Rhinolophus ferrumequinum: one gene and its partners. The protein of the gene in region 3 interacts with the protein of the main gene of each other region in a pairwise test. Links are inferred from orthologs where the notes say so. Each region holds a gene or a part of one and is shown on either strand. Other genes may lie near its edges.

Region 1 (10,164 bases), on a different chromosome or scaffold from region 3:
CCAAAGATTACTATTTGAGATCAACGTCCAGAATACATTAGTTTCACTTTTAGTTTTAATCCACAGCATGGCAAACATCTGCTGAAAATACCTGCTGTCTCCATCTCTGAAGTGTGCCAGCTGAGTCTAAACAAGACTCTTCGGTTACTTTCCAGACCTCCATTCAAGAGCAAACATAATAATCTGGGTAAAGAACCAAATTTAAAATGAGGCCAAATCAGAAACCAGATTAATTCTACCTACCAATCTAAGCAGACACTTGATATGTTTCTTCTGTCTTCAGGGAAATGCATTTAGGAAAACATTGAGGAAAATCATATAGAGAGGAAACAGATGCAAAGAAAAAAAAAATCTATTGCTAGAAGAGATTCCAGAGACAATCTGGTCCTGGACTTTCAATTGAGATGAAGAAAGAGCTGGCTCAGTCTGGGAAGTCCGCATACACTGGTAGTTGGTGGCAGAGGCGGACCTAGGATGCAGACCCTTGACCCCAGTACTCTAACAAACAGGCCTCCAGGCTGTTCATTCTCACAGCAGCCTCCCTAATCCAATGCAAACGAGTGTGTTAACTGGCCCCGTTAGGCCAGCTCTACTGTGAGGAGGCTACTTAATTGCCCACAAAGGACAACTCAACCAGCATATTTCATGCCATTTAATAAACTGTCCAGACACTTTTCGTACACTAAATGTACCCTTATGACTTGACTTAGAGACGGTAAACAATCACCTCTCATAATTGCACTGGTAAAGCTGAGTTTACTCACTACCTAAACAGATCTATTTTATTTTCATGTCACTTTATGTAAATATTTTATAATGAATAATTAAACATCAAAAGGTTTATCAACCAGCTTTATCTTGCTAACATTCATATTGGGGGAAATAACTATTTTTGTTCTATAGTATCATGCACATACAAACAATGCAAGCCATAACTAAACTGGACCCAATACAACTTCCGATCCTAATGAAAAGGTACAAATGCTAATGACAAATCACTTTATGTAGTTATTAAGGCACAATGCTATATAAATTTTAGGTGACATTTTCTTAGAATTCTGTATTTCAGACAACGGTACAAAAAACAAGTAAAATGCTCCAACATTTTAAAAGCAAGTCAAAAGCTTAGATCACACTAATTTTTCAATAAGATTTCAAAAGGATCTAAAATCAATTAAAATTACCTAGTCTAACTAGATATGTGTATTCTTTGAGCGCTATTAGGTATGAATCTCAAGAGTCAAAGCCAATTGAGTCAATAAAGTAGGAAATTTGATTCCAATTCTAATTCATAGAATGTCTCTATTTCTTGCATGAATAAAATGGATTTGATAATAGTTATTAACTCAATTACAAGAAAGTACAAGACCGTCTAGTAGTAAATTTTAAAGTCTGTAAGCATTCATTATACAAATGTATTATATAATTATAACTGTAGCCATTGTTTAAAAGATGTATTTGCTCTTCGAAGCTTCTACAGATTTAAAAAATATATTTGTGTCATCAAAATAGATTTGCATCTGGAGGCCCTGAAATGACTGAAAATCATTATAAAAGTACACAATGAAAATTCCAATATATTGTGATATATATATATATTATATTCTTACTTGACTGCCAGTTATCACACAGAAATGCAAAGTGGAACCTTTCACAAATCAGCTTTCAATAAAAAAAAGAAAACCCTCAACCCATTCTGATTAATACACAGCTAAAACATCGTTAAACATGTAATCACTTGAATATTTTGCAAGACATTTTCAAGAGCACTAAGAATTTAATATACCAGTTCCTTCAGAAACAAAACTGAACATTTCCCTCACTCTTTAAAGCTCTATAATGAGACAAAGCAGAGATTTCAAATTCAAATAAACAGTATTTCAAAATATGTTTCTATCAGTCTTTAGGTAAACAAACAAAAAATGTCATGTTAAAACTCTTAAAGGTATTGTTTACTCATCATTACTCAAATTTTCACATTCACATTTTTATGTACAAGAAAATTTCCAAGCCAAACAATTATGGAAAACATTAGAATTTAGAGCTAAAGTTTGCTGTATTTAGAATTAGTTGTTTTTCTTAATTTTTTTTTTTAACATGCCACTGTAAGATTTAGGTCTCTTGCATTTCAGCAATAAATGTTCAACACTGCTTTCCTAGTTTTCTCATCCTTTAGAAAAGTATTCCAGTCAGCCCAGAGAAGAAAATGTTTTCGGTTTGCAAGAGAAAAACACCTTCTCTGGTTTTCTACCACTACTGGTGGTGTTCTAAAGCGATAAATTTAACAATCTAAATGCAACAATAATATATAACATATCTGTGGGATGGAGTTTGGTTATACTGTTCTTAAAAGAGTTCTCTAAGTTTTCCAGAAACTTAAAAACTTTTAAAATTCTGCATTAAGTCGGACAGAGCTCTTTGCTACACATTGTAATCTGACACTAGCCTGAAGAAGTTGACCAAGTTTAAGAAGGGTTTCCTGCTTTCTGTTAGAACAGTCTATAGTGACCTATAGTAACACTGCTGAGAGGCAGGGGTTACTCTGGGGCATTAGCTGCTGCTATCAGGAAGTCAGTGGGTCTTTTCCTTCCTTCCTTCCTTCCTTCTTTCCTTCCTTTCTTCCTCTCCTCCCACTGCCCCCCCACCCAGCCCCGCATCTGCCATTGTGTTTGTAAGAATTCAACCCTGCTCTCCCATTGTCTATAAAGACAAGAAAAACCACAAGAAGAGTTGGAAAATGTACCCCATGTCAACTATATAGGTCCCTGTTCACTTTGATATAAGGGCTGCGCCATGGAAAACTTCGAAGTGATGAACCAACTCACTCTTCTGTATCAAAACAAATTTGCCTTTGTTTTGCCTAAACATCTCTGGGAAGGTGCAATGACCCTTTCTAAATGGAACCAAAGGCCTATTTGACATTGGTTTATTTAAGCATCACTTTACCTAGTCTGCTCCTGTAAGATGAGATGAGGCTCCACGAAGAACTTGACTCTCAGTTTAAGCCGGTAAGGGGCTAGCCCATCCATCTGCTGGGAGATCCGGTTTCTCAGATTTAGCCATAAACTTTCACCTTTGCTACCCGTAAACTGCAGTCCAAAATAATCAACTTCTATAATTCCCAATCGCCTGCACACCTGAAACAAAAATGAATGCAGCATGGATGAGCAAATGGTCCATGTGGTCAAAGTAAACCCAAGGACTCCACTGGCTCTAAGATTTCTGCCTACTCTTTACAAAGTTCAACAACAGTGTTACAATTTCTGTTGTAAACTGGAAGAACAAAGATCTAGTGATGCTAAACTACTAGGTGAAGCATAGAAATGTCCTTTAATACTCAGGACACGGCCAATGGCAGTAGAGAAAAAGGAGTCCTCAAAAGCAGCCTTCCAGAAAGGCTGAGGAGGGCAATCTCAGGGAATTTTCCTCCTTATTCTAATCACCAAAATTCCCTCCGTCAACACAAACGACACAGTTGATTTGGCAGCTTAGTATCTGGACAATTTTAACCATCTGCACTACCAAAAAACAAACACATTGAGGAAACACGCCACAAGTGTCAGCTAAGCTTTGAAAGGGTTTTCCAAACATCTCAGGTCTAGGGGGTTTGAGAGCACAGCGTTTCACTTGAGATCAAATCTGCTGTCTGCCCTACCAATATGCAGTTTGGAACCGTTCTTCGCTCTTAAAGAAACGCGTGCTTAAAGACAAGCGAGGAGTAGATGCCAAAACGGTACTCTCGTCCTCGCAAACCCGAAGATGCAGGTGAATGGTCCATTTGAGCAGCAGCAAGAGACACGGGCCCGGCTTGTCTGCCAAACAACCTGAGAGACCTGTGACCGCTTCCAGCCACCTCATCCCGGGACGCAGGTGTCGCTGGCAGGCCCCGCGGGGACCCGACCGGCGGCTTCATGCACACACCTGCGGCAGATGTTCTGGTCCGCCTTCTTCCGGGAAAGTGCCGAGCTGGGGCGGGGGGATCGGGGGACAGGGTGGCCGGCCACCGCGCGCGTACTCTGCGGTTTCCCACGCGCTCCCGGCTGGGAGGCCATGTGCCCCAAGCCGGTGGAGTAGGGGGCGCGGGCCGGGCGCCTGGGACGCGACCCCACCCCCCCACCCCACCTCCGCCCCCACCGCAGCGCCGCCCGGCCCCTGGCAAGCGGTGCGTCCCAGGTGCACTGCGCCGCCGCGAGGCCCCTCGGCCTAGGGTCCCCGCCTGACCCCTCGTCCTCACCTGGTTGAGGCAGTCCTCGCCGTTGGCTTTCGCCTCCACTTCCACCTCCATCAGCACCGCGTCCGGCCTCGTCACATAGCACAGCATGGCTGGGGCCGCGGCTGCCGCCACAGCCGCCTCCTCTTTGGTGTGAGCGGGGCTGCCGCCTCCCCACCAATCAGACCCAGCCCGGGTCTCAGTAAGGCTGGTCCTCGGGACGCTGCCGCCTTGCAGACCCTTGTCCTGCGCCCCGCGGCCGCCGCGCCCTCCTGCCACCCCCTTGCCAGCCCGCTAGCCCACCGGCTCTCAGAGTCTCCACCGCGGCGCCGCACTCCAGCAGCCAGACTGCCTGCGCCGCGACAGAGACTCCTCTGATATAGTGGCTCCGCCCCCTCCGGCTGGGGTCCCCGCCAATCACAGCGGTTCTGCCCCGCCTCCGCTGCCCCGCCGGCTAATAGAGGCGCGGGATCGGCCGCGGCCCCACCTCCCAGCGCCGTCTGCTTTCCGGGGCTGCCTGGGGAGGTGGCAGCTTGCGGGCGCCGAGTACTGCGGGAGGAGGGAGGCCGGGAACACACCCGCTGCCTCTGCCCGCTGGGCGACGCTACTCCGAGCGAGCGACCGCCACGGGCTCTGAAGCAGAGTCGCCTCTCTGTCGGGCTTGAATTTACAGTGATGAAACGCCCTGGCTCACTCCGAAATGTATTTCGGGAGGTGAAAGCGAAAAGGAAAGGGAGCAACCCAAAATCCTGAGGACAACTATTTTTTCCTGGGGTTTGCTACCGTGGGTTGTCCAAAGGCCGAATGGTTGTTCCTCATTTCAGACCTAGTCACGGAAAACTCGCATCTGAGTATAAAAGTTTTGGCAGTTGACCAATAAGTCAGGGAGCTTGATCTAGTGCTTCTGTATGAATCCTCTCCAGAGGCTTCTAGTTACCTGTTCTGTTGAATCAAAACACCTTATAAGGTACTAAGGCCCTCTCTCAGGTTGCCCATCCTATCGCATGTCTTATCTCATTCACTCATTAAACATTAATTGAGCATCTGCTGTGCTGCCGATCCCTTCTCTCAGGCAACCAAATGTTCTCCCCGTCTTAAAGGTAAGGGACTCATCTCAGAACCTAACAGGTGGTATAACCTCAGTAGTAGCTATTAATTATTCAAGGTCTACAACTCTTCATTCATTTACTACTTGTTCCTCTCTGCCAACACATCATTCAGCCTAGTTTTTTGGTTTCTTTATAGGAGAAGAGAGCAGATGTTGGTTTTGGCCTTGAACCCTTGGAAAACTTAATTCATCTCTCTGAAGCTCGGGGTTCTCAACAGTGAAATGGAGATATCTGCTCTGCCTGCTTCCCCTCCCCACCCAGCATTACTGTGAAGAACAGCAGAGATAATGTTCCTAAAAGCATTTGAATGACCCTGTATATGTGTAATGTCAGTTCTGTCATTGCCTGCCAATGACTTCTGTCCTTACTCTTTTGCCTGAGTCCCAGTTATCTCTGTCCCAGCAATCTTTTGGTTCTGAAGAAGTAGGAAGGATGTCAGAGCAGAATGCTACAGGGAAGGATACTACCACAGTCTTTCACCAAAGCCAACTATGGGGAAAACTGTAAATAGTCAAAAGTCCTGACCTCCAGGGCTGCAGATGGCCATGTGCCCCTGAACATGTGTCTTTTGGATACACCTCGCGATACTATGTTGCTGAAATAGACCCATCTTGTTTCCCATTCCTTTAATTCCAGTTTATTTATCTGGAAAATTGGTCTGGAAGACAACATTTGGATGACTGTTATCTAATCTATGCTTAATCACTAGAAATTTTAGACCTAGGGAGAAGAGGTGAGGGGCAAGATGGAAGCAAGGTGCATTGGTTAATATTTTTGTTTACTGAGAGACTAAGCTGGCCAAATCAAAGTCAGCTAACCAAAAGTTGGCTAACTTCAGCAAAAAGGAATTTAGCACACAATTTTGGGGAGCTTATAGAATCAGTGAGGACTAGGCATGAAAATAAATAGAAAGGGAGAAATATTGGTTGGCCAAGAGCAAAAATAAACAAACGAAAATAAAATAAGCAAAAATTAAATACTCATTTTGTAGAGAAACAACTTTAAAAATAAATTATGTTTTTGATTTTGGCAGGCATATTTCTAATCCAAGACCAGATTATGCTCCTGTTATGAGATGGTTGGTAAAAAAAAAAATCCAGTTGTTTTAGAAATTAAAAATTATCAGATAAGACTGAAGAGGAGAAGGATTTCTTAACACAAAACAAAAAAAAGCAGGAAAGCCAAAAACAGGAAAAACATGGCATTTGGGAGGGGGGAGAGATCCTGATAACTGAGGAAAAAAGAATACTGGCTGCTATTAGCATACACAGGAAATACAAGACCAATCTCTCTCTCTCTCTCTCTCTCTCTCTCTCTCTCTCTCTCTCTACCTCTCTTCTCCCTCCCTCTCTCTTCCCTCCCTCTCTCTTCCCTACCCCTCTCCCTCCCTCCCTCCCTCTCCCTCTTCTCGGTCCTCATTTCCTCCCTGAGTAGAGCTAGGTTAGTTGGGGTAAGGAACAGTATGCTCAAAGACCTGGTTAGGGACTAGAAAGTCCACAGCAGAATTTCTTCCTAGAGGATCCCACCATCTGGTCCTGCTACTAAAGGTCTAGAGCCAGTTTCAAAAGCCCCAGCTGGGCCTAACTCCAAAATAAGAGACTCTGACACCCTGGCCTGGGGGTGGTAACTGTATTGGATCAAGCTGTGACTCAAGCAGTTCTGAATTAGCCAAGGAGGTGCTACATTTTATCTGTCTTCTTTCCTTTGCTCTCAAATAGCTATCACCTTTTAAAGACAGCATTAAAATAAACCAGGGAAGTACAAGGATCAGCTGCATGAAGGGAGATTTTTTTAAAATAGAAATCATAACTAAGTGGTAGAGTCAGCTAAGCCAGTGGGGTCCTGGCTGTTCAAAATCACCCAAGCAGCACAGTTATTCTGTTTCATAGACTAGGGCTAAAGACTGAGCATAAGCTAACATTTGCAGAACGTGATGTGATGGCTGTCTGGCTAAGGAATTTTTCTTCCTGTTGAGCACTAGGTCTGATCTGGCTGGCTGGATACCTATCCTTGTTCATTCCTCTCCCAACGCTGCACACACCCCTGCAGAAACCCTGTTCTGGGTCAAAGGAAAGGCGCTTCTCTTTAGCTCTCAATGTTCATTTGTAGAAGCATGAAAGGAAGAACACTTAGAGACTGCCTAAAAAACTGTCCGTTTGCTTTCACACGTGATTCAAGCTAATTATTCACATAAGCAATATTTAATTTTGCACAAGTGTGTTAGAATTGTCGAATGAGCTGAAATCTCTCATTTGAAATTCTGGAGTAGGTTAATTAACCGTGGCCTACCATCAAAGCAGAGTTGTCGCTTCCAAAACTGGCTGTTTGAAGAGTGAATGAAGGGATGGAGGAAGAAGAGGTAAAGCCCATATTACAAACTTTGGAACATACCAAACAGCATCGTCTTAGTTAGTGAACAATCGCAATGATTTTTTTCTATTTGTGAGGGTAGTTCACGTTCATGGTAGACTACTTGGAAAAGGCTAAAAAGTACAAGGGAAAAAAATGCTCCTGTAACTTTATCAGGCATTTCTAGTTCATATTGATGTTTCACTTTGGTACTTTGTATGCAATGTGCTCTAAATTTTGATTGTGATAAAAACAAATACAGCACATAAATTTCTGGAGACATATCAGGAGAGCAAGAAACACAGGGGGTGTGCAGTTCCAAATCCATACCTAGTGTTATGACTATCAGGAAAATTATAAACAGAAAGAACAATCATTACGAAAAAAAATTAGTATTGTTTCTGAGCTGTTTTCTTTTCTAAAATACATACAAGCCTTTCCTCTATTTGTTTTTCTTCTCACTACTCATACCCTGAAACGTCAGATTTTTGTGATATGCTTACTTTGGCATGCATCATTTAGTGGAGAGACGCTCAGAGCTGGGAAATCATTTCCAACTTGGCACATTTTGTTTAACAACAAAAATATTTTGCTTAATATTTTGATACCTGTTATTTTAATTGTGAAGATGATCAATAATAATTTGGCCTGTGTTGTTACAGGTGCTCCTCAAGTCTGGGGATATGCAGATACTGATCCACCTCCAATAGGGTTCACTATCACGCTGATCTTGAATGAGATTCGGTGGGTGATGGGTATGCAATTGGGAGCCATGGAACAGAGGACAGACCCAATCTGCCTGAGGCTCAAACTCACAAACCTGTCCTACCTGGAAGGTGTTCTAATCAGTTGATCTGTAATAACACCTCTCCCCTTCCCTCACTGTGTCTGAGCATGCCTTTCTGTAAAGGAAAGTGGGGCCAACATGACATATTTTGTGGATGGGTGTGACACAGAACTCACTGGGGATGGCCACTTCCCAAATCAGTGGGACATTAGGGAGGACCAACTTCCCAAAGAAAAAATGAACAATGATTAGAAATGCTATAGAAATACCAAAAGTACATGAAATCAGCTACGTATGTTGGACAAACCACAAGATTTGAATAAACAAGATAGAACAAGATAAAACTATGAATGCTTTGGCATGAGGCAACTTCTCACTAAACTTCAATTACACCATCTCTGCCCAGCTCATTTATTGTTGCTGACATTTGTAGAGTTTATGTCACTTGATAGGAAAATCTTACTCCTCTTTCAGTTATTCAGTGTTTTGCTTTGCTATGTTCTTAGAGACTGTGATTATTTAAAAATGACTTGACAGCAAAGGTCTGCTTTCTCCCTGGCAATCACTCAGTGGCTATAAGTACCCAGCCCTCTATCAATTGCTTTTTTCTCCCTCTTCTCTCCCCTGGTTCAGAATTCCTGGGAGAGGTCAGTCAGGAAGCTGTCTGCATCTCAGGGTGGGGGAGGCAGCTTTGTCGCTTCCTACTTGACATGAGAGAGCTGAACCTTGGACCCAGCCCTATGTTTCCCTCCATATCCAAAATGTCCAAAGCAGACATTTCAGCGCCCAGAGCCCAGGAAGACAGCAGTGATGAGGTGGGGTCCGTGGGCCTTTCCCAGAATGACACAAGCAGGAAATCTTGCCTTTCCTTGGGTCCAGACTTCCAGGAGAAGAGGAGTCTGAACATGTGTTCCTCTGTGGTTGGTGTGAATCTGGTGTCCACCAAGAGTTAAGCCCACATGGGCAAAGTGAAGAGCAGAGAGCAAACCAAGTCTCTCACTGACCTACCTAGTTTTTGTGTAGTTGCCTTTGGTTACCCCTTAATCATTTGCAAACACTTGCCCAAACAGCCCAGACCTGTCTTAACTTTGTAAAGATTATGGTGGAAATAGTCTCACTTGGGTCTGAATTTTAAAGTAAATAGATCTCCCCACACCCCCCCCACACACTGTGACCCCCAGACCCGGGACCAGTATGGAGATAGTAATAACAATTACAAGGAGTAAGTCTAGAGAAAGGTAAGAAGTCCAGCTGCTTACACTACCTGGAATGTTTGTTTCTTCTTTCTCATCTTGGAGGATCTGATTTTTAATTTTCTTCGGTGTCTTAGCCCACTCAAGTTGTGATAACAAAGTACCATAGATTGGATGGCTTAAATGACAGAAATTTATTCTCTCATAGCTCTGGAGGCTGGCAAAGCCAAGAGTAAGATGGCAGCATGGTCAGTTTCTGGTGAGGTCTCTCTTCCTGGCTTGCAGATGGCCATCTTCTCCCTATGTCTTCACATGGTAAAAGAGAGAGAAGAAGCAAGCTCTCGGGTGTCTCTTCTCATAAGGGCACTAATTCCATCACGAGAGCCCCATCCTCATGACCTCATTTCAACTTAATTGTTCCCAAAGGCCCCACCTCCAAATACCATCACATTGAGGGTTAGGGCTTCAACATAGGAATTTGAGGGGACACAATTCAGTCCACAGCATTCAGGAAGA
Region 2 (10,222 bases), on a different chromosome or scaffold from region 3:
AGCAAATGTTTGCCTAAATGCTGGCTGTTTACCAGGCCCCTGGATGAGCACATAATACCATATCCCTGTGAGACAGTTATGATTTCCATTTCACAGTTGGCGAAACTGAGACTCAGAGACTTCAAATGACTTTGAAACTAAGGACTAAAGCCTATCTTAGGTCGGTGTCCCCCAGAAGTTGACCCTAAGATAAGACTTCAAGTCCCAGTGGAAGGGGATGGGAGAGTGAACATGGAAGGGAAGGCAGCCAATGAAGGGAGCCAGTTACTACTGTGAGCAACTGAGATTCGCTCCTGCTAGGCAACTCATAGATAGCAGAGAACATGCCCCAAAACTACCCCAACAGAGGTGAGGGAGCTGGCGTGCTTATGTACCTTCTCCCAGCAGTCACTGATTGAAGCCAAAAGAACATGGGAAGGATGCTGGCCTTGCCCGATTCCACGCAGCTAGAAAATGTAGAAGGCAATTCAATACTGTTTTCATTACTTTTAAAGAAAGGAGCAGTTCATCAAACAAACACTTAACTGAGTGCCAACTATGAGTAAAGTGCCATGCTGGTGGTGAAATAAATCTACTTTGCCAAATCACTTTGGGTTGACATGTCCAAAGAAAGCACAAGGTATCATTTTGCCAATTTTTATCAATACAAGTAATAGAAAACGCCCTTCTAAGTCCCTTTCTTCATCCCATGGGAATTAGCCAAATGATCTTCCCTGCCCCCTACTCCTATGAGAGGCTGCCCTCTCTGGTTCAGCTGCAGCTGCCTTGGGCAGCTCCTCCAGCCTCAAGCTGTCATTCTGAGCAGCTACACCAACCTGTGATTACAGGCTTCAGAGTCTGCCATCGCAGGGAAGACCAAAAATGACCCCTTGGTCACCCAGCCAGCCGAGCCTGAAAGCTGTCCGTGTTTGCTGTGCCCTGCTTCCCCTGTGCCTCCTGCCCCGTCCCCTTCCTTGACGTCCTCCTTGGGAACCTACCAGTAGGCCAAATAAATGAAACCACAATCACAGGCCTGTGGGAGCTTACCCCACCTTGAAGATTTATTTAAAACTCTTCTGGAAAGGCAAGGAGGTGTTTAAATAGGGTGGTGTGTCATTGGGATAAATCACTGGACCACACTGTGAAGAGTGGTGGGAGGGGACCCCTGCCCTGGTTTTATAAATCCAGCTGTAACAGTTCGCAGCAACTATGACTTGAAGACAGAGACTAGATGTCTTGTTCTATTACAAGTGCATGGCGGAGACCTTCCCAGTTTCTCACTCTCGGGGAGAGGAGGAGACGGGAGGAAGTCCCAGGACTGCTCTTGGACCACCCAGTGGGCATTCCAACCTCTCCATGGGATTCTCTGGCAATCTGGTCCCACCTCTACACCCCACCTCCCAGTGAACACACTTCCTGCCAAAATATCCTAGAGAGGACTGAAAGCAATAATCAGGCCAACGTCTTCTTGTCTTTTGTGCCAGGACCCCTTTCTGGAAAGCTCCGCAGTCCAGCCCTTGGCACTCCAGCAGAGATGCCAGGATGTGGGGTCCTGGGCATCTCTCCAGCCAAGCCTCTTGGCCATTCCTAAGCAGTTCGCACACAGAAGGCAGACACAAAGCTTGGCTCTGGGACACCAGGAAATCAAAGCAAAACCAGCAGATGACTGAAGGGTCCCAGGTAGGCAAACGCATCCAAGAGTGAGGAGAACTGAGGAATTGAAAATAAAGTGTAAGGTTGTCTACCACTCCCAACCGACTCCTAAAATAACACAAACTGAAGAGGCAGCCTGAGCCCCCAAAGAGATGCCATGCAGAAATGCAGAGAGGTGGGCTCTGGAGCCCCAGGGGCAGAGTGAGCCCACCCTCGGGAAGGTGGGGACCCTGCCGGCTGGAGGTTCAGCAGGTGCAGGTACTGCACATGCCTTGCCTACTCAGCCAGGTGCAAAAGGCACACCCCCACCTTCCCCTGGAGGAGGACGTGACTAGAGACCTCAGAGCCCCTGGCCTCCTTTCAGCCAGGCTCCCCAAAGGTGCTCCTCCTCATTCCAACAGATTTCACCAGCATAAAAATGAGAGTAGGGGAGTACGGGATACGACTAGGTTGCACTCCGAAGGTTATCCAGTGTCCCCAGTACTCGCTGAAGGAGGAGAGGGACTCACCTCACTCCCCAATACAGGGAATCCTGAACTGTACCAGCCCAGACTCCCAGGTGCCCAGACAGGCAGGCTGCACACTATGCCACCATCTCCTCCCAGGGGAAGAACCACCCTCTTTCCAAAACTACTCCACCTCTCTGAGCTCAGCCAGCATTTGAGGCCCTCGCTTATCCCGCAGGGGCCCTCTGGACTGCTGCAGCTCTCAGGCAGCAGCAGACCTTTCCAAAGGAGAAAGCACAGCTGGTGCCCAGATTCATGGCCCTCATCCAGGGTCTTTGATCCCAAATGGGCATCTCCCAAGCCAACTCCACACTTAGTCCCTGGGACACTGCACTGGGACACACGTTAAAAATAATGAACTCTTCTTAAACAACCCAATATTCTTAGTCATGAGAAGTGTCTTTAATTCTTCAGACCACCTGCTGAAAAAGTTCCCAGTAAGTAAATGTGGTTGATAAGTAATTAATTCCAGCCTCAGATTCTTCATTCAGATTCTCTGGAAAGAAGGCCTCTGGCTCTAGCTCACAGGCAGCTGTTTAAAAGAATCATTGTTTCTAATTCTTTCCTCCCATTGTACCAAGATCAATGGTGGCAGGAACCCAGTCCCCTTCCAGGACAAATTATTATTTGTCAGCTCATTGGTTCAAACATTCATTCATCACATGTAAGGTACTTACTATAAACCTGTTCGGCTCTAGACACCGCTCTGTGCTCTGGCAGAATACGTTCTAGGGATGCGAATTCCTGGGTTATAAAGTGCATGGTAGCGTTGAGAAGCCTGGTGCTTAGCTCCTCCTGTCACGGAGGCGCAGGGGTGCTGTGAACAACCCCGGGCCCACAGAGTGCCCATGGGCAAGACGCAACCGCGGAACCCTCGGACTCACTGTCAGGCCACTGCGCCTCTCTGCTGTCCCCAGGGCTCTCCCGGGTTTGGAGCTGAATGCAAAGCAGGCGCTCGCAATACAGAAGCGGCCGAGGTCCGCCCAAGGCACCTGCTCTCTTGGGCGCAGAGGACGCAAAGGCGAGGGCCCCAACGACCAGGCACCAGCTCCGGAGGTGGGCGGAGAGACTGAAAACGGGAAGTGCCGGAGGAACAGGGGGGCCGGCGCACCCTGCGACCTTCTGAATGAATGCAGAAGGAGCTCGCGAGGCGGTCTGGAACCCGCTTCTGGGGAAACGTCCGTTGGGCAAGGAAGAAGGGGACCGAACTGGGGTCGGGCACTCCTCAGGGCTGTCGCGGCCTGCTACCCCTGCACCTGCCGCCCGGCCCCACCTCTCCAGGGAGTCCCGGGGACCCCGGGAATGGAGCGGGAGTGAAGGAAATGATGCCAGGGGTCGGATCGGGAGGACGAGCTTGGAGCCACAACTTTCTCCGGCAGGAAGGGGGGCGGGCTGGGGCTCCGTGCCTACGCGGCCCCTTTGGAGTCCGTACCCTCGGGAACCCCCGCGGCTGGGGGACCTAGAAGGAGACCAGGGGTAAGCGAGAACTGAGGGCCTGACCTAGACCAGGCAGGGGACTCTGCGGGAAAACTTTCGGCCAGGCAGGAGGGGGGTCAGAGGAGAGAGGACTGCCCGGTACCCCACACCTTGCGTCCCGCACCCCGCGCCTGCAGCCTCGCGCCCCACGCCCAGCACCCCGAGTCTTGCCTGTATGCCAAGCCGGCTGCATCTAGCACGCGCTGCGGAGACTGTGGAATTGGAAAGTGAGGTGTCACGACCGGTGGATTGCTCCAGCACGCTCGTGGGTCAGCGGTCGGCGGGTCCGGCTCAAATCCAGCGGGGCTGGGCAGGCGGCGGCCTCGCGATTGGGGTTCGGGCGCCCCGCCCTTCTCCCTCCCCCTCCGCCCCTCTCCCTCCTCCTCCGCCCCTCCGCGCCTTCTTGCCCGCCCCAATGTCTTTATGTACCTTATCCAGTCTGATCGTCCTCCCTCCCCCTCTTTCTCGAGCCCTTCGTCGCTCCCCACACCCCTCTTCCCTCGCCTTTCTTCCTCCCCTCCTCTCCCGCCCGCCCTCCCCCCTTTCCCCTCCCCCGTGGGGGGGGCGGAGCTTCTCCCCTCCCTCCCAGACAATGCTGTGGATATGCGTCCCATCCTTCCCCTCCGTGAGACGGGGCTCGGGCTGCTAGCTCCTCTTCCGGGCTGGGAGTGGGGAGGACGGGGTAAGAGTGCGAGGGTGGGGGGGGATGAGCTGGCTCCCCTCGCCCCATTCTGTCTGCCATCTCCTAGAGGGATGGAGTCTTGGCCCAAGCCCCTCGGCTCGCCCCGCGCCGTGACAGCCGCTCCCTGGGAACAGTAACGCTGCCCCGCGGAGCCCACCTCGAGCGCTCCGGATTTCCCAGGCAGAGGATGTAGGATTTTTTTCCGCCCCCCTAACATCACGCTTATTCCAAAAAGGGTTTGAGTTGAGCAGGGGAGTCTAAGCCAGGCCCCTTCGACTTCGCGGGCTGGCAGACGTGACAGTAATGTGAAGGAGGCCAAGTGTCTTTGTCCACCTCTCACCTCCCCCTCTTATGCAGCGTGGACCTCCAGGGGCTCTCAGAGCACAAGAAGCCCTGAGGCACCCCAGCTGCGGGGGGAGCGGGGGCACTCATCTGTTCCCTCCCTCTTATCAGAATTCTCTCCCCACATACAAACTCCAGCTCTGCAGAGTCAGTCATCGTGCTAAAATAGAAGGGGACCTAACCGTTAATGGGTAGCCAACCCCTAGGATACAGCAGGATCAGCTCATCCCTCCTGGAAGCCAAACATTCTTTACTAAATTCATTGTTTGGATCTTGGAATGTGTCTCCCTTAGAAACAATGTTATAAATGATGATCTGCCTCCCAGGCCAGCCACAAAAGTCTTTTGAACCCAAAACGCAGCTGTAGGGTGGTGCTGAAAACTGTCAGCTACCCAGGAACAAGGAGGCCACTAACCAGCTTTTTCTATAGAAAAAAAAATCTTCTGGTCCTTGTCCCTTGAGCTATAAACAAAAAGTTCTAGTAATTTCCCCCTGGAGCCACTACACTGTATTAGTTAAGCTTCTTTGCAGGTAACATGAACACCCTCAGGGGAATGTATTCTGAGGACATGGCCTATAGCCTCAGGGTCAGAACTGCAGGGAAAGCTCAGTAAGAGGAAAATCCAGAGCCTGGAGGGCTTCCAGTAACCTAGGAAGTCTTCTGTGAGGGGCCAGCTCTTCCATTTCATCATAGACTGGCCTTCCCTACATCCCAGACACATGACAAACGGTAGCCATCACTTATGTCACTGGAACTTGGAGCTCCCCTGTTTAAGCAGCCAAGTGGAACTAGAATCCCTTAGTCTCTATTCCAGTCTCCCAGGAGAGCAGCCCATTGGCCCAGCTTCGGTCAAGTGACTATCCTATGACCAATCAACTGGGGCCAGGGGTGGGCTTACATTGTCCAAATTAGGTTGCCAAGAACCCTGAATCTATGCCCTGCTTAAAGCAAAATCTATCCATCTCAGCTTATATTCTCCATCTTGGTGAATAGATTTATTGGTTCAAAACACCAGAAAACCTCTTTCTCCTTATCAGTTTCCTCATATAGAAACCATAAGAGAAAGGAATAGGCCCTTATCCTTCAATGCAACATAGGGACAATACATCTATCTGTACCAGGGATAATATTGTGCAAATATTAAACTGATACATTAAAACTCCTCCCCTTAAACCCTGTTACCCTGCAGCCCCAGCAACTCCCCTCCCCCGCTCCCCTACCCCCAGCTGGACCAGGAAGCTCCAAGATAAGCATTACCTAGAACCAGTGCTCTGAAAGAAATACAACGCAAACCACAGGTGTAGTTTAAGACTTTCAAGCCACATTAAAAATGGTAAAAAAAAAAAAAAAAAAACAGGGGTGGCCGGATGACTCGGTTAGAGTTCAAGCTCTGAACAATAGCGTTGCTGGTTCAATTCCTACATGGGATGTTGGGCTACCCCCCCTGCAACCGCAATTGGACTTGGAGCTGAGCTGCGCCCTCCATAACTAGATTGAAGGATAACAACTTGGAGCTGATGGGCCCTGGAGAAACACACTGTTCCCCAATATTCCGCAATTTAAAAAAATAATGGTAAAAAACAAGTGAAATTAACTTTAATAATATATTGAATTTAAACCAAAATATCCAAAATGTTACCTTTTCAACAGGTAAACAATAAAAAGAAATTATTTTTTACATTCTATTTTTTTTTACTAAGGCTAAAATCAGGTATGTATTTATACTTCAGCACATTGCAATTCAGACATTAAATTTTCATCAAAAATATTTGATCTGTATTTAGATTTTATATAATTTCTACTTGAGAAAGTAGATTCACTTACCCAAGTTGTTTCTAACAACTTGCTTAAAAGTTGCCCAATAACTGAAATGAGTATTAGTTTTTTAATTTAAGTTTTAATTAAGATTTCATACACTTAAAATTCAGCTCCACTAGTCACATGTCAAGTGCTCAATTGCCACATGTGGCTAGTGGCTGCCAAATTGGGACAGCACACGTTTTGGGAGCAAAGACGTCACTGAGGAGCTCAAGTTTCAAAGCTGATTTTCCTTATCTCTTTAGCAGAACAGTGGCAAGAATGTCAAGCATGTCCAGAGAAAATGATTTTCTGAATTCCTTTATGTCCCCCTATAACATCTCAAGAGATAGGTTTTACCAGTGGAGTTCTACTTTATGCCTGAGGAGAAGCAGGATATTCAGAGAAGTGAGAGACTCAAAGCCCACTCTTCTGTTTCCAGTGGATCCTGGGAGAAGGGAGAAGGAGGGGACACAGACAGTCGAAAATGCTGCATCTTCCCTGATTGTGATTTCCATCAGAGTGCCGAGGAATATTGAAGGGTTAAGGGGAGTTCTGGGGATAGAGGAGAGGATGTTGACACACTGGCTGTTCTCTTCTGTTCTCAGGCACTGACCTAGGGGAGAGGACAGCCTCATCAAAGTCAACTTAGTAGATCAACATGGTTACACAGCTTTCTAGGGTCACCCCCACAATTCCTGCATAGCACATGATGCAGAAATTCCTACCTGCTCCCAAGGACCAGGAGCCTCAGAAGGAAGCTAGATTGTGAGCTGTAGGCCTTCCGTAGGGCCTGTCTTAGTTTGGGTTTCCTCAAAGCAGAACCTGAGACAAGGACTTGGGTGCAAGTCATTTACTTAAGAGTTGATTCCAGAAAGCAGAGGAGTGAGACAGGCAAAGAGGAGATGCTAACAAAGGATGTGTAAACTGGGACTCCATTCCTCTGGGGACCCTCTGAAGAACCGTGTAAAATGTACCTCAGAATTGTCCTCTCTGAAGTCAGGGGGCTGGGGCATTTATCTGCTGACTCTCATCCCCTACTTGTTGAGGATTACTTCCGGGAGAGCTTACCTCTTCTTACGTTCTGGCTCTGTGAACATCTTTGGCCTTAAGGAAACATCTGAGGCAGAAAAACAGGAGCCACTGCCATTGGTACTTGAGGTGGGACAAGTCATTGTGCATAGAGCTGCCCACCATGGTTATGCAGAGATGAGCAGTGGGCTAAGGGGATGTGACACAGAACACGCAAATCGTTAGCTCTAAGAGCTAGCATGGAGAGAGGCACGTTGCCCCTGAAGGCTCAGTCAGGACTGACGGGAGGACGTAATAGGGACTCAGAGGGAGCACGGCCGAATTAAGATCAAGGAGGGCAGGGAGCACTGCAGAGCTCTGAAGGGATATGGAGCACCCAGACCGCGAGGTACACAAGCTGAAGGCATCAGCAGTAGATGCCAGCCAGACCCTCAGGAATGGCGCCATCACCCATCCTAATGGTTAACTAATTCAGTTTTCAAGGGATGGTCCAGAGCAGGCCCTCTGCAGGGGGATCCAGGAGGACTCAGAGATAGCATCCTCACATGTCACCACAAGAGAACGAAAGACAGAACCTACCCGGAAGATCTACCTTGGAGAGACCTGGGGAGGGAAGGAAGAATTCTGAGAGTTGTCACCTAAGGAGATCCCTGGAACTGATTATATTATTGCATCACACTCCTTTCTCTGTCTCTGTCTCTGTCTCTGTCTCTGTCTCTGTCTCTCTCTCTCTCTCTCTCTCTCTCTCTCCTATACAGGAGGTAAGAATCTACAAGGCAGATCTAGTGAGTTATGGAGAAAAAAGGAAGCTTAAGTTCTGCCACTGGGACCCGAAAACATCTGGACATGTCTGACACCTAGTGTGGTGGGCTGGCTAGAAATGCACTTGTTTGAGAGGTGAGAAACGGCCCTCCTAGGAGATAATTTTCAGTCTAAGGAAACAAGAAACCAAGTTTGGTCCAGTAATAAAGCTTTAGTTGACAGAAGGGAGGTGAGATTGTCACTCAACTCTGCCCCCTGGGCACATTGTGGAAGGTGGGAGTTTTCTGGGAAGATGGGAGAAGCTCTAAGTTACAATTCAAAGGACTGTTTCATAAGCCTCAAGGACTCGGGGGCCCAAGCAGCCATGCTTCGGGGACCTGCTGCTAAGTAACACTGAAGGGACCCACACACTTCTCTGATTCAAAGACTTGGTATATTGGCAATGTTACCCGAACCTAGTAGATGGATTGCCAAAAATGGTCACAGTTAGTCTCTTACCTGCATACACTTTGCAGTTCCTCCCATAAAGAGATGGCATCTATTTCGCCACCTTGAATCTGGGTTGACATTATGACTTGCTTTGGTCAATAGAATGTGGCAGAAGTCATATATTACACCTTTTCAGAGCCTGAAAAGGGCCTCAAGAAGCTTTCCACTCTTCTACTTTCTACTGGAACATGGCTCTGCCACATGAATAAGCCTGAATTAGCCTCCAGGAGGATGAGCGATCCAGAGCCAGGTCCCAGACATGTGCGAGACCCGACCAAGATCAGTAGAGCCCCCTCCTCAACCCAGAGCTCATCACTGATGCATGAGGGAGCCCAGCTGAGTCTAGCCCAAAGAGCCAACCAATAAAAGTACAAGCTAAATAGATGGTTATCATTTTAAGCCATGAAGGTTAGGGGTAGTTTGTTATATAGCAGTAGCTAATTGATAAAGAACTTAACAGAATTTTTAAAAAGGTAACTACCGTGTTTCCCTGAAAGTAAGACCTAGCCGTATAATCAGCTCTAATGTGTTTTTCAGAGCAAAAATTAATATAAGCCCCGGTATATTATATTATATTATATTATATTATATTATATTATATTATATTATATTATATTATATTATATATTATATATTATTATATATTATTATATATTATTATATTAATTAGACCGGGTCTTATAGTAAAATAAGACCAAGTCTTATATTAATTTTTTTTTTAAAGATTTTATTGGGGAAGGGGAACAGGACTTTATTGGGGAACAGTGTGTACTTCCAGGACAGTTTTCCAAGTCAAGTTGTTGTCCTTTCAATCTTAGTTGTGGAGGGGGCCGTTCAGCTTCCAGTTGTTGTTGTCCTTTTCAGTCTTAGTTGTATCGGGCGCAGCTCAGCTCCAGGTCCAGTTGCCGTTGCTAGTTGCAGGGGGCACAGCCCACCATCCCTTGCAGGAGTTGAACCAGCAACCTTGTGGTTGAGAGGATGCACTCCAACCAACTGAGCCATCCAGGAGCTCAGCGGCAGCTCAGCTCAAGGTGCCGTGTTCAATCTTAGTTGCAGGGGGCAGAGCCCACCATCCCTTGAGGGAGTCAAGGAATTGAACTGGCAACCTTGTGGTTGAGAGCCCACTGGCCCATGTGGGAATCGAACCGGCAGCCTTCGGAGTTAGGAGCATGGAGCTCTAACCGCCTGAGCCACCGGCCGGCCCCTTATATTAATTTTTGCTCCAAAAGACGCATTAGAGCTGATGGTCCAGCTAGGTCTTATTTTCGGGGAAACGGTATGTGAGGTGATGGATGTGTTAACTAATCTTACTGGGGTAGTCGTTTCACAATATATAAGTGTATCAAATCATCACACTGTACACCTTAAAATTACATAATGTTATATGTCAATTATATCTCCATACAGCTGGAATAAAAAGAAACACAACAAATAAAAGCCTTTAATACAAAGGGGAGAGAAGAAACCGAACAGGATAAAGGGGCCATGGCTGACACAACCAGG
Region 3 (9,689 bases):
TGCAGGATCAGCAGGCGAACACACACGTTCATGACCAAGTCTAATTAGGCTGGCAGACAAGTGGCATTAATCATTTTTGACTGTACCTGGGATTCAAGCCCCTCTCACTCCATAATCAGAAAATTTCATGCTCTGATGATAAAGCCTACATTTAATCCTTTCACTTTCATCTTTTGAGAAGACAGGAAGCGGGGAGGAGAGGAAACAGGCACCGCTTAGGGACCTCAGAGGGACTCTCTCAGCATTCCAGGTCTTTTCTCTGTCCCTCCACACTCCACTAGGATCTTTCTCAAGAAGAAGACACCAGTTAGAGTCGGGGGCAGGAGAGGGACGGGAAGTCGCAGATTCCACCATCTGTAACAACACAGCATTCCTCTCAGGGCTTCATTTTCCTAACATCCAAAGCCAAACATGGGTCTGAGTCTATGAAAATACTTCAAGCCACACACCTCAGCACTGGTGGATGCATTGGACAAGTAAAATATCATCCAAGTGCCCAGGGTTCCTGTACAGGGAGACTCACGTCAATGTCCCAGTAACCTCTTCTACAAAGAACCCACGACAAGGTGTGGGCCTGCATGACCTGACGACGGCTGTCACACGGGTGGTTCCAGTCTGCAGAGAGAGGCGGGTTAAGCCCAGCCATTCATGCAGTGACAAGGCAGGGCTGGAAAGGCTAGACAAGGGGCCCTGTGAGACACCAGCCTCATTCACCAAGAAAGTCCCCCTCCCCACCCCTGAGGACCATGGCAAATGCCTCATACTCACACCATAACTAATGTGTATCACAGGAAGGGTAAGTTAGGATGATAAGCCCCAGGGCCCCCCTTTCAACCCTATAATTCCAATCACTTCACACTTCATAGCTCTGAACAACGCCCCTTCCAGAGAGACAGGCTCCGGGAGCAGATGCATGGCACTCACTGGCAATATGCAAGGTACGTCCAAGCAATCCTCTTGGTTGAGTGGGACTTAGGTTTCCCCATTTTCCAGATCAGTCTCTGGTCCAGGAAGGCTTACACATCCACCAAAATGAGGTGAAAAGTCAAATGTCAACCTAATGTGCCTTCTACAGAGAAAAGGGTCTATGATAAGGGATATTCCCTGAGAACAAAGCTGAAAGACAGTTGCTGAGGTTCTCATGTTGACCATTCCCTCCTGGAGTGCTGGAAATGGATATTCTCACCCCTGCCACTGCCCCCACCCCAAAACACACGCACACATTCACACAACCACCTCTCTCTCTCTCTCTCTCTCTCTCTCTCTCTCTCTCTCTCTCTCTCCCCTCCCACCAATCCTCATTGGATTTCCTTCTCTATCTAACAAACACGATTCCTTCGATCCTGGAAATTAATATTAACCCTGAACCGCCCTGTTGGCAAATCCAGCATTAACCAGAGCTCAGATACAGACCTTGAAGCAGGGGTAAGCTTAAATTAGAGTAACTTTCACTAAAAAGGCAGGCAGTTTTCTAAAAGCTTCCCTTATTAAAAGCCCATTTTGCCAACAGGGCTCCCACCAGTGTCAGCCTCCTGCTCAGACAGATGTCATTCACATACCCACTGCCCTTCTGCTTGCTTCCAAGAGCAAGGAGCTTTAATAGTAATAAGCTGCCGCCTTCGTCAGCCACTCCTTACTGAGCGTGTGGTCTACGATACAAAGACAAGGTGCCAGCATCCTGGTGACCACTAAGCCACTGACGTTCTGTGAGGATGCTCCTCAGCCAGCAGGCAGAGTGACCGTGTCTAGAGGACACTGATACCTGCACTTCCGGGGATACTAATGGCACGCGCTACCCCACTTAGCTAAGCAGCCAGACAGCATCTGAAAACTGCACGCATTGCTTGGGAAGGTGATCCTAAGAAGTGTCCCAAACCCAGACAAACTGTCACAACTGTTGAGTGGGAGGGGATAATAGTAACATTCACATTGCATTAAACATTCATATTGCATTTTTTAGGCACTGTTCTAAGTGCTTTATATATATCAATTCATTTCATTCTGACAGTAACATGATGAAATAGGTAATGTTATCTTCCCCATTTTTTAAAACAAGGAATCGGAACACAGAGATTCCCAGGGGCACATTGAGACTTGGTGGCAGAGTTCACACCCTGGATGCACACCCTGGTCTTCTGCTTCCAGGCTGTGCTCTTAATCATTGCATACTGCTGCCTTTTACAAGTCGTACTTCAGACCCTTGCTTTTTAGAACAAAGATAAAATAAACCAACCCTGCCATGGAATTAGACCTTCAGTTTAAAGAAAGATGCTCAGTGAGTTCGGCTTGCTGTGTCTCCACCTACCCGTCCTCATTTTCACATCAGAATATTTCTTAACTGTTCCCATCCAGTCGCAGGCCCACAATTAAATATCTGTAATGACAAACAGAGACTCCTCTCCATAGCCCCTTGATTCCAGCTCTGCTCTCTCTCTCTCTGGTGTTCAGATATCCCTGGTTGGTATTAAACCTATGCAAGTGCCACCAAGTCACACAAAGTCAGAGGAAATGTCCATGCACCTGGGTCTTCCTGCCATGAGAAACTATTTATGAACCAATCGAAGGAAATAAAGTTTAATGTGAAGTTAACATCAATTCATTTAGTCATAGAGTATCATGCATATGCACATACAAACACACACAAATACACTGTTACCACCACCCCCCCAATCATAAAACTATGCAAAATGTTCAACAACTGATATAGTCCCCAAACATCTTAATACAAAATAAAATTCCAGTGAAGCAGATTCCCGGGAATCCCACACAATAAAACCCATTACAGTGAGGATACTGCCTCTGTGTCGACAGGGTTGGTGATCATAGTAAAGTACTCCAAGAGCCTTGAAAAGGCCAAAGCTGCCAACACATCCGCGGGCATTCAATTCTACGGGAAGGTCAGGGGCATTTACCAGTGATAACAGCCCTCCACCCACATACACACCTCTACAACTTTTGCTCTTTCCTTTTTAATCGGCATCTGAACTGTGAGTTCTGGTGTTGGAGGGACTAGCACCCCCTTCCCCCTCCAATCTTCCCCTTCCATTTAACCCTGGCTTAGATTCTGAGCTCTCTTCCCCTGCCGCCAGCTGCAATGGGAGGCATACTGTACAGCCTCAGCTGTGGACCGGCTGCAGAGAGGCAAGGTAGGGTTTTCCTGACGTGGAAGTAGCTGGTGCTGTCCAATGGTGCAGCTAGATGGGAGATCATGGGGGAAGGGCCCTTGCTGAAAGATGCAAACCACAATCCATTTCCAGAGATGCTTGCTAGAGTTATTCCATTGTCTGTGCTTTGTGCCTCAGATATTTTAAATACATATATAAACACATAAACACATGGATATCCTCTGCCAAACATGGGCAACAGCAAAAATGGGGGGATGGAGGTGGGGAGAGGACACCCATGAAAAAAACACACACATCTAAAACTGTAGGAAGAGAAAAATAATAAACTCCCAAGAATATTGCAGATTGGCTCAGAAAATCTGCACGCTTGGTGCCTAGTGTTTTCTAGTCAGATTTGAGAAGAGCCTGACTCAGGAGGAGGCCAGAGGGGCTTGAGAGCTCTGGGGATGAAGGGACCAGGCCAGAGTTGGGTAATTTTAGAGCATGATGACAGATGCAGTTACATAGGAGGAAGAAGAGGAGGTAGCAGGGCAGAGTCAAACATTAGAGCAGAGTCCAAAGGTTTGAGGGGCCAGAGGTAGAAAGCAGGAGGGGGCACAGGTCCAGGGTGACCTCCGACTCTCTTCAGCCTCACAGCTGTTTCTATCCAAAGCCTAACCAGGTCTCCTTCCTGTCCCAACAGGGCCCCCTGGAGGATGTACCATACAGGGACATGTACCATGGGCCTCCTATACCATAGATGAACAAACATGCCATTTTGTCATTAACCCTTAATAAGCACGGGTCAAATCGCCAACTCAATACCAGTTTCACTCTCACAACTCTTTCTCAAGAACCTACAACAAAAGCAAGAGGGTGCTCAGGAGACAACGGAATGACCTTGCGTCTTCCACCATCAACCCCAACCTGCGTGTCTGTGTGTGTGTGTGTGCGTGTGTGTGTATACACGTGTGTATCTGGGGGGGGATAGGTATGCACCCGTCAGGAGAAGGTATTTACTAAATACCGCAGAACCAAATCTGGGCAGTAGGCAGTCACTAAAAGATACCCGACAGCGGACTAAGAAGCAGTCTCCAGGGCTTATCTCCCTTAAAGTTGAGGAATCCCCTGGAGCCAGGGAGCGCAATGCCCTCTCCCGGTCCCAGCCGCTCGCCCATTGACTGCGGTCTTCCCGCGCGCCCCTCCCCTTGCCCACCGTCATACTCACTAGCGCAGCGCAGCGCCTGCTGCAGCACTTCTTGGCCGCACAGGTCACACCAGCCTCTGCCGCTCCGCAGCGCCAGTTGCGCGAAGCAGTGCCCCTCGCCTCGCTCCGCCGGGACGCGGGGATCCTGCGGCTGCTCGAAGATGCTCCGCACATCGCGGGGTCGGGGCGCTCCAGGCCGCCGCCGCAGTCTCTGCTGCAGACCAGGCCGGAGAGGGCGAGCGGGGCGGGAGGCTCGGGGTGGGGGCTCCGGGTCCCCTCGGGCAGCCCTTCGGGCGCTGCGCCCCTCGTGCGCCCCGGGCGCAGTGGAGAGGGGCGCGGGGGCACAGCGGCACGAGGACCGGCCGGGAGGCGGCGGCGGCGGCGGCTCCGGGCCGCTCAGGCTCTGCAGATAGCGCGGCGGTTCTGGGTCCAAGAGCAGCCGGTACGGGCGTTGCCCGATGGCCGGGGACGCCATGGCCATGCCAGGCACGCGGCGGCGGCGTTACTCCCGAGTCCTCCTCGAGAGGAGGGCGGCCCCAGACCAGCGGCCTTTAAAGGGACCGCAGGCTGCGGGGCGGGGCGGGGGCGGGGAGACTCCGGAGAGGCAGGAAGGACGACCCCAGGGAACCGCGGACCAACCAAGCCGCAGGGTTGGCAGTGGGGGGTGCCCGAGTGGGTGTGGATTTCGGGGCGTCTTCAGGAAGCGGACTGGTCAGCTGGAGCAACTGGAGGATTTCGTATGGGAAAGACTCTATTCGGTACAACTCAGATGAAGCATTTCTGTAGAGGGCCGTCTGCCTTCAGCCCGCCTCTATCCCTCTCCCGTCATTTCCCCGCACACCATTCACCCCCACCCGCACCCCAACACGCCCAGGTGAGAGGGCGGGCGGAAGGAAGGGCTTGGGAGCTAGCAGGGAATGGAGTCTAACGAGAAGTCCATGGCTAGGTAGGTGTCCGCCCGCCACGCTCCCTGTTTCCAGCGGACCGGAGGGATGTGCTCCTTTGCTCTTTCTCCCTCCCACTCTGCCCCCTGCCCCCCCCGCCCCCCCCGCCCCCGGCGAGCCAAGCCCCGCGGTAGTCGGAAATGCTGGGCTCTCTCTCTCACTCCCACAGCCGCGCGGAGTCCGGTGATGCGGGGGAACGCGCCGGGGGCGGAGGGGACGCTGCAGATGCTGACCCCAAGAAGCTGTCCCCCGCGGCGGGCGAGGCTATCCGCGTGCGACTTTCACTCTCCGTGGATTTCCCCTCTATTAGCTGCCCTGCCGGTAGGATATTCCTTGCCCAGAAGAGTGAGGTTAGGGTAACCACGGGCCCTGGATTGTGAGAACACTCTAGCGGCCCGTGGGTTGGGAGAGCTTTACTTCCAAAACCAAACCCTCCTGTCCTCCGCTGTTATAATTACTGTGGAAATACCAGCCCCGCACCCCCCTCACACACACCAAAGCCCTACTTTGTATCTGATATTGACAGCTCACCTGTGGGACCCAAGTACAGATCCCTTTGCTACCAGCATCACGACCATCTCCGTCACCCCCCCCCACTTTAATGCTCTGCTGTCACGGTCCTGATAGCCTTAATAATTTTTTAACAAAGGGCCCACAAATTATATAGCGGGTCCTGATTATCTCTCATAGGTGAGGAAACGGAACTCCTGGATCTTGGAACTTGTGTCTTGACATAGACCAGTTGTATGACCCTGGGCCCTCTTTACCTCTATGGTTTTAACTGTAAATTAGTCTGGGAGTGAGGGGACAGGTGTATGCTTTTGTAGTCCTTACCAGCTCCACCACGCTGACTCAGTGATCACTGCCTGTCCTCTTAAAACTCGGGTAGGGGTTGGTTGGTTTATCAGAAGTCACCAGAAACCAATTTTAGGAATAGTCTAAATTCTTCTAGCTCTCAGACTCCTCCTCTTCCCAGGCTAGAGATGGGTCTCCCCCTAGTGTCTGATGGGGGGAATCTCCACCTTTGCTTTTCATTTTCCCCTCGGAGTAATTTTTAGGTAATTCCTAGCAATTCTAGTCTAGTGGCCAGGGAATTCCCAGCCTGCTTTGGTCCATGGCTTCTCCCTCAGGGCAGGGATGATCATAGAGTCCTCTGCGTTTGTAGCAGAGGACATGTTGCAGGGTCCCTGGATCTCACCAGAGGCTGGAAATTCTCACCTCATGATGTGGTTTCTGGGTAGGTGGGAAGAATGACCCACAGCAACAAACACCACAGAGCTACAAAGAGGAGTTGAGATGAAGAATTGTGAGCCACCAGCCACCCCCTTCTCCCCTACTCCACCTTTCCTCTCCCCTGTCTGAAATTTGCTTTCTCTTCATCAGCGGTTTTCAAACTTTGGCATGCATGGCAATCACCCGGAGGGCTTGTTAAATCACAGATTAGTGCACCACCACCACCACCACCACCCCCATACACACACAGAGTTTCTGAGTCAGTGTGTCTGGGGCAGAGGTTTGATATTTTACATTTTTAACAAGTGCCCAGGTGGTACTGATGCTGCTGTTCCAGGAACCCCACTGCTCCAGATCTAAGATGGTGATAAGAGAATGGGTTTCTCCATCCTTTTCCCCACAGGGCAGGTGAAGTGCAGTGGGACATGACTGAGCAAAACCCAATGGGAGGGCTATTCTGGAATGCTTTCAGCTGAATGTTTAAAAAGGAAAGTACAGTTCGCCTTTGTGCTCTCTTATTCCCATCTCTCCCACTTTTTTCTGCAAGCTGGCTCTCAGGGTTATGCAGAAACCTGTACTGCATATAAATATTTGCTTGTTTCCACCCTGTGTTATCTATCCATCTCCACCAACTTGAGACTCGTTCTGGAGCTCACTCCCACCCAGGAGTGAGTGAGGTTTAGGGTGTGGACCGAGTGTGAGCTCTGGGTGCCAGCTTGGTGTGGCAAGAAGAGGGGACCTGGCAAAGAGTTCATTACTGGGAGGCAGTTTTGAAATGCCATTTGTGAAAAAATTGCCAGCAATCACATCTATGCTCTTTACCACCACCCCCCACCACCCCCCAAGCATGAGTTTGGTCAACTCAGGCCAGATTCCCAGGATAGAGAGGCTCATTGAATGAGTGTCTCCTCTGGCCCTGGAAGACTGAAGACTATATGGAATAATCAGGCATAACAAAACAAACAAACAAAAAAACCCTTCCCCCTTGCCTGAGCTGTACAGAAAAATGCCCTGGTTTCTGTTTTCCTGAGGCAGCTCTGCAGCAGGAGAAGTGGGTGCTGGCTGCTCTCAGCACTAAGTGGGGGAGGATACCCCCACTATGCAGGCCCAGAGCCATACATTTAGCTTCTGGAGGGGACAGAGATGAAAATGGAGATAGCATAACTTCATGTAACCAATCCAAAAGTTTATCAAGTTTATCTTAAGGTTCATCTCCCTGAGCCAAGAAATTGAGGTCTGGAGAGGTAGTTGCCTTGCCCGAACCCAGCAGAAGCCTCCCTGCCTATGACTTGCTCCTCTGATGCCATCTTTCCCAACACAGTCCAGTCCTGTCCCTTCTTCCTTGAAAGAACATCCCCTCCCTCCCACGCGTGCACACAAGGACGCATCTCATTCCTTAGTACTCCCAAGGGAAGCACAAACGACTATGTAAACTCTGTTTTCATTGTAGGGTCAGGGCAATGTCTGATGCTTGAACTTCAGCATTGTTTGGCTCAGTCTTTGTCATGCAGGCTACACGGGTAAGACCACAGCATCAGCAGGGGAGACACCTCCACTGTGAGCTTTTCCCTATGTTAGCAGATCCTCGTGGCCCAGAGCCATTGACTTTTTCTGTTTGTGACTCACTCCCTGAGGAGTGGGTGTGCTGTTTTTACTTTTGACGGGGGAAGCATTATGATAGTGAGTTTGAGTTGTGTGGTCAGTGTGTGAAGTCATTTCCGAGGTGGTCCCCGAGAGTGTCGGTTCCCCCACTGGGTGAGTTGTTTCAAGGCTGCCCCCCAACCCCCTACTGAGCTTCCTAGTAGGAAGGAAAAGGGAAGGACACAAGTGCCCTGACTTTCTGAAGGGGAAGTTTTTGGTTTTGTTTGGCTTTGAGGCATTTGAAGTCTCCTGAAATCCCCGAAGCGTTTAGGGAGCTCCCAGTGACTCTGACAGCTCTGCTCTCTGCATAGGATCACGGCACCTGTCAGGACAGGTTAGGTTACGCTGCGGTAATAATCAACCCCCAAATCTCCGTGCCTTTAAACCAGAGACTTTTTCTCTCACATAACCTTTATGTTTGGCAGGGGGGCTCTGTTCATCAAAACTACTCAGGGACCTCATCTAATGTTGCCAGTCACCATGCCAGAGGGAAGTCGAGAGAGCCCGGAGGGTCCTCCACCAGACTTTAAAAGCGCCAGTCACTTCTGCTCACAACTCATTGGCCAGAACTGGTTACACAGCCCACCCTACACAAGGGAGCAAGAAGTGCAACCCTACCGTGTGCTCAGAATGGGAAAAGAGCTCATCACTACCACAGTCTCCAAAGGCACAGAGCAGCTATTTATTTAACAAGCAATTATTAAATATCCATGATATATCAGGTGCTGTTCTGGGCACTAAAAGTACAGTGGTGACATAGACATGTTCCTGAAGCTTACATTTTAGTGGGAAGGCCAGAAAATAAACATACAAACATAAGTGTAATACAATGTCAGGTTATAAGTGTTATGATGAAAAATGACGCACATTATGGGAATAGAAAGTGACAGGGGCTGATATTAGATTGGGTGGTCTCTGAGGAGCAGACATTTAAATATAGACCTGAATGGAGAAAGCCCTGTGTCTCTGAGCAAGGGTGGTACAGACTGAGGCAACAAGAGGCAGCCCTCCACCCCCACTTTCCCAAACTTTATGAGTATGAGTTTGTTCCAAACCCCAAACCCCACCTCCAGAGATTGATTCAGTAAGTCTGGATATTGTCCTGTATTTTATAAGAGAGTTTGATTAACGTGACTCACAGACCATGCTTTGAAAATGTGACCAAGGCAGTAGGTTGTGTGATGTGGGATTGTGTGACCGCTCCAGAGACATTTGAGAGAAAACACTCTGACCCTTGTTAATTGCAGGATTCTAGCTCTCCGAGCTACTTCCTTCCCTTCTTGGGCAGCTTGTCCCACACAGAGCTCAGCCTCCCAAGGAAGTGGATGTTGTTTGCAATGTGTAATTAGGGTCAGTAATACCTTCCATTGCTAGACTATGAGCAGGGACCATGACAAAACGTTGTCAGGGAATTAAAATGTTTGTGAAAGTCCCTTGAAAATCCTCATGTTATACGTATTTACTCAAGAAATGCACATCGAACACCTATAATGTGGCAGGCACTCATGGCTTGAATGACTTCATCTTCATGGCCACTCTGTGAAATGGCTGGTACTCCTA

The links.
Region 1: the proteins of RASSF5 (region 3) and MYLIP interact in binary tests that used the Homo sapiens proteins (3 or more experiments, as listed by UniProt). The two-hybrid records come from large-scale screens. The link is inferred for Rhinolophus ferrumequinum from reciprocal best matches to the Homo sapiens genes RASSF5 and MYLIP.
Region 2: the proteins of RASSF5 (region 3) and RASSF2 interact in binary tests that used the Homo sapiens proteins (3 or more experiments, as listed by UniProt). The link is inferred for Rhinolophus ferrumequinum from reciprocal best matches to the Homo sapiens genes RASSF5 and RASSF2.

Annotation. Positions count from the first base shown.
Region 1 is NC_046292.1:78,573,540-78,583,703, forward strand, and holds the start of MYLIP (E3 ubiquitin-protein ligase MYLIP), read right to left. Parts: upstream 4,561-10,164; 5' UTR 4,322-4,560; coding exon 4,235-4,321; intron 3,138-4,234; coding exon 2,947-3,137; intron 1-2,946. UniProt on the Homo sapiens protein: E3 ubiquitin-protein ligase that mediates ubiquitination and subsequent proteasomal degradation of myosin regulatory light chain (MRLC), LDLR, VLDLR and LRP8. Activity depends on E2 enzymes of the UBE2D family.
Region 2 is NC_046306.1:26,448,901-26,459,122, forward strand, and holds the start of RASSF2 (ras association domain-containing protein 2), read right to left. Parts: upstream 3,981-10,222; 5' UTR 3,786-3,980; intron 3,234-3,785; exon of another isoform or gene 2,816-3,233; intron 1-2,815. UniProt on the Homo sapiens protein: Potential tumor suppressor. Acts as a KRAS-specific effector protein. May promote apoptosis and cell cycle arrest. Stabilizes STK3/MST2 by protecting it from proteasomal degradation.
Region 3 is NC_046305.1:24,875,003-24,884,691, forward strand, and holds the start of RASSF5 (ras association domain-containing protein 5), read right to left. Parts: upstream 4,817-9,689; 5' UTR 4,793-4,816; coding exon 4,333-4,792; intron 1-4,332. UniProt on the Homo sapiens protein: Potential tumor suppressor. Seems to be involved in lymphocyte adhesion by linking RAP1A activation upon T-cell receptor or chemokine stimulation to integrin activation.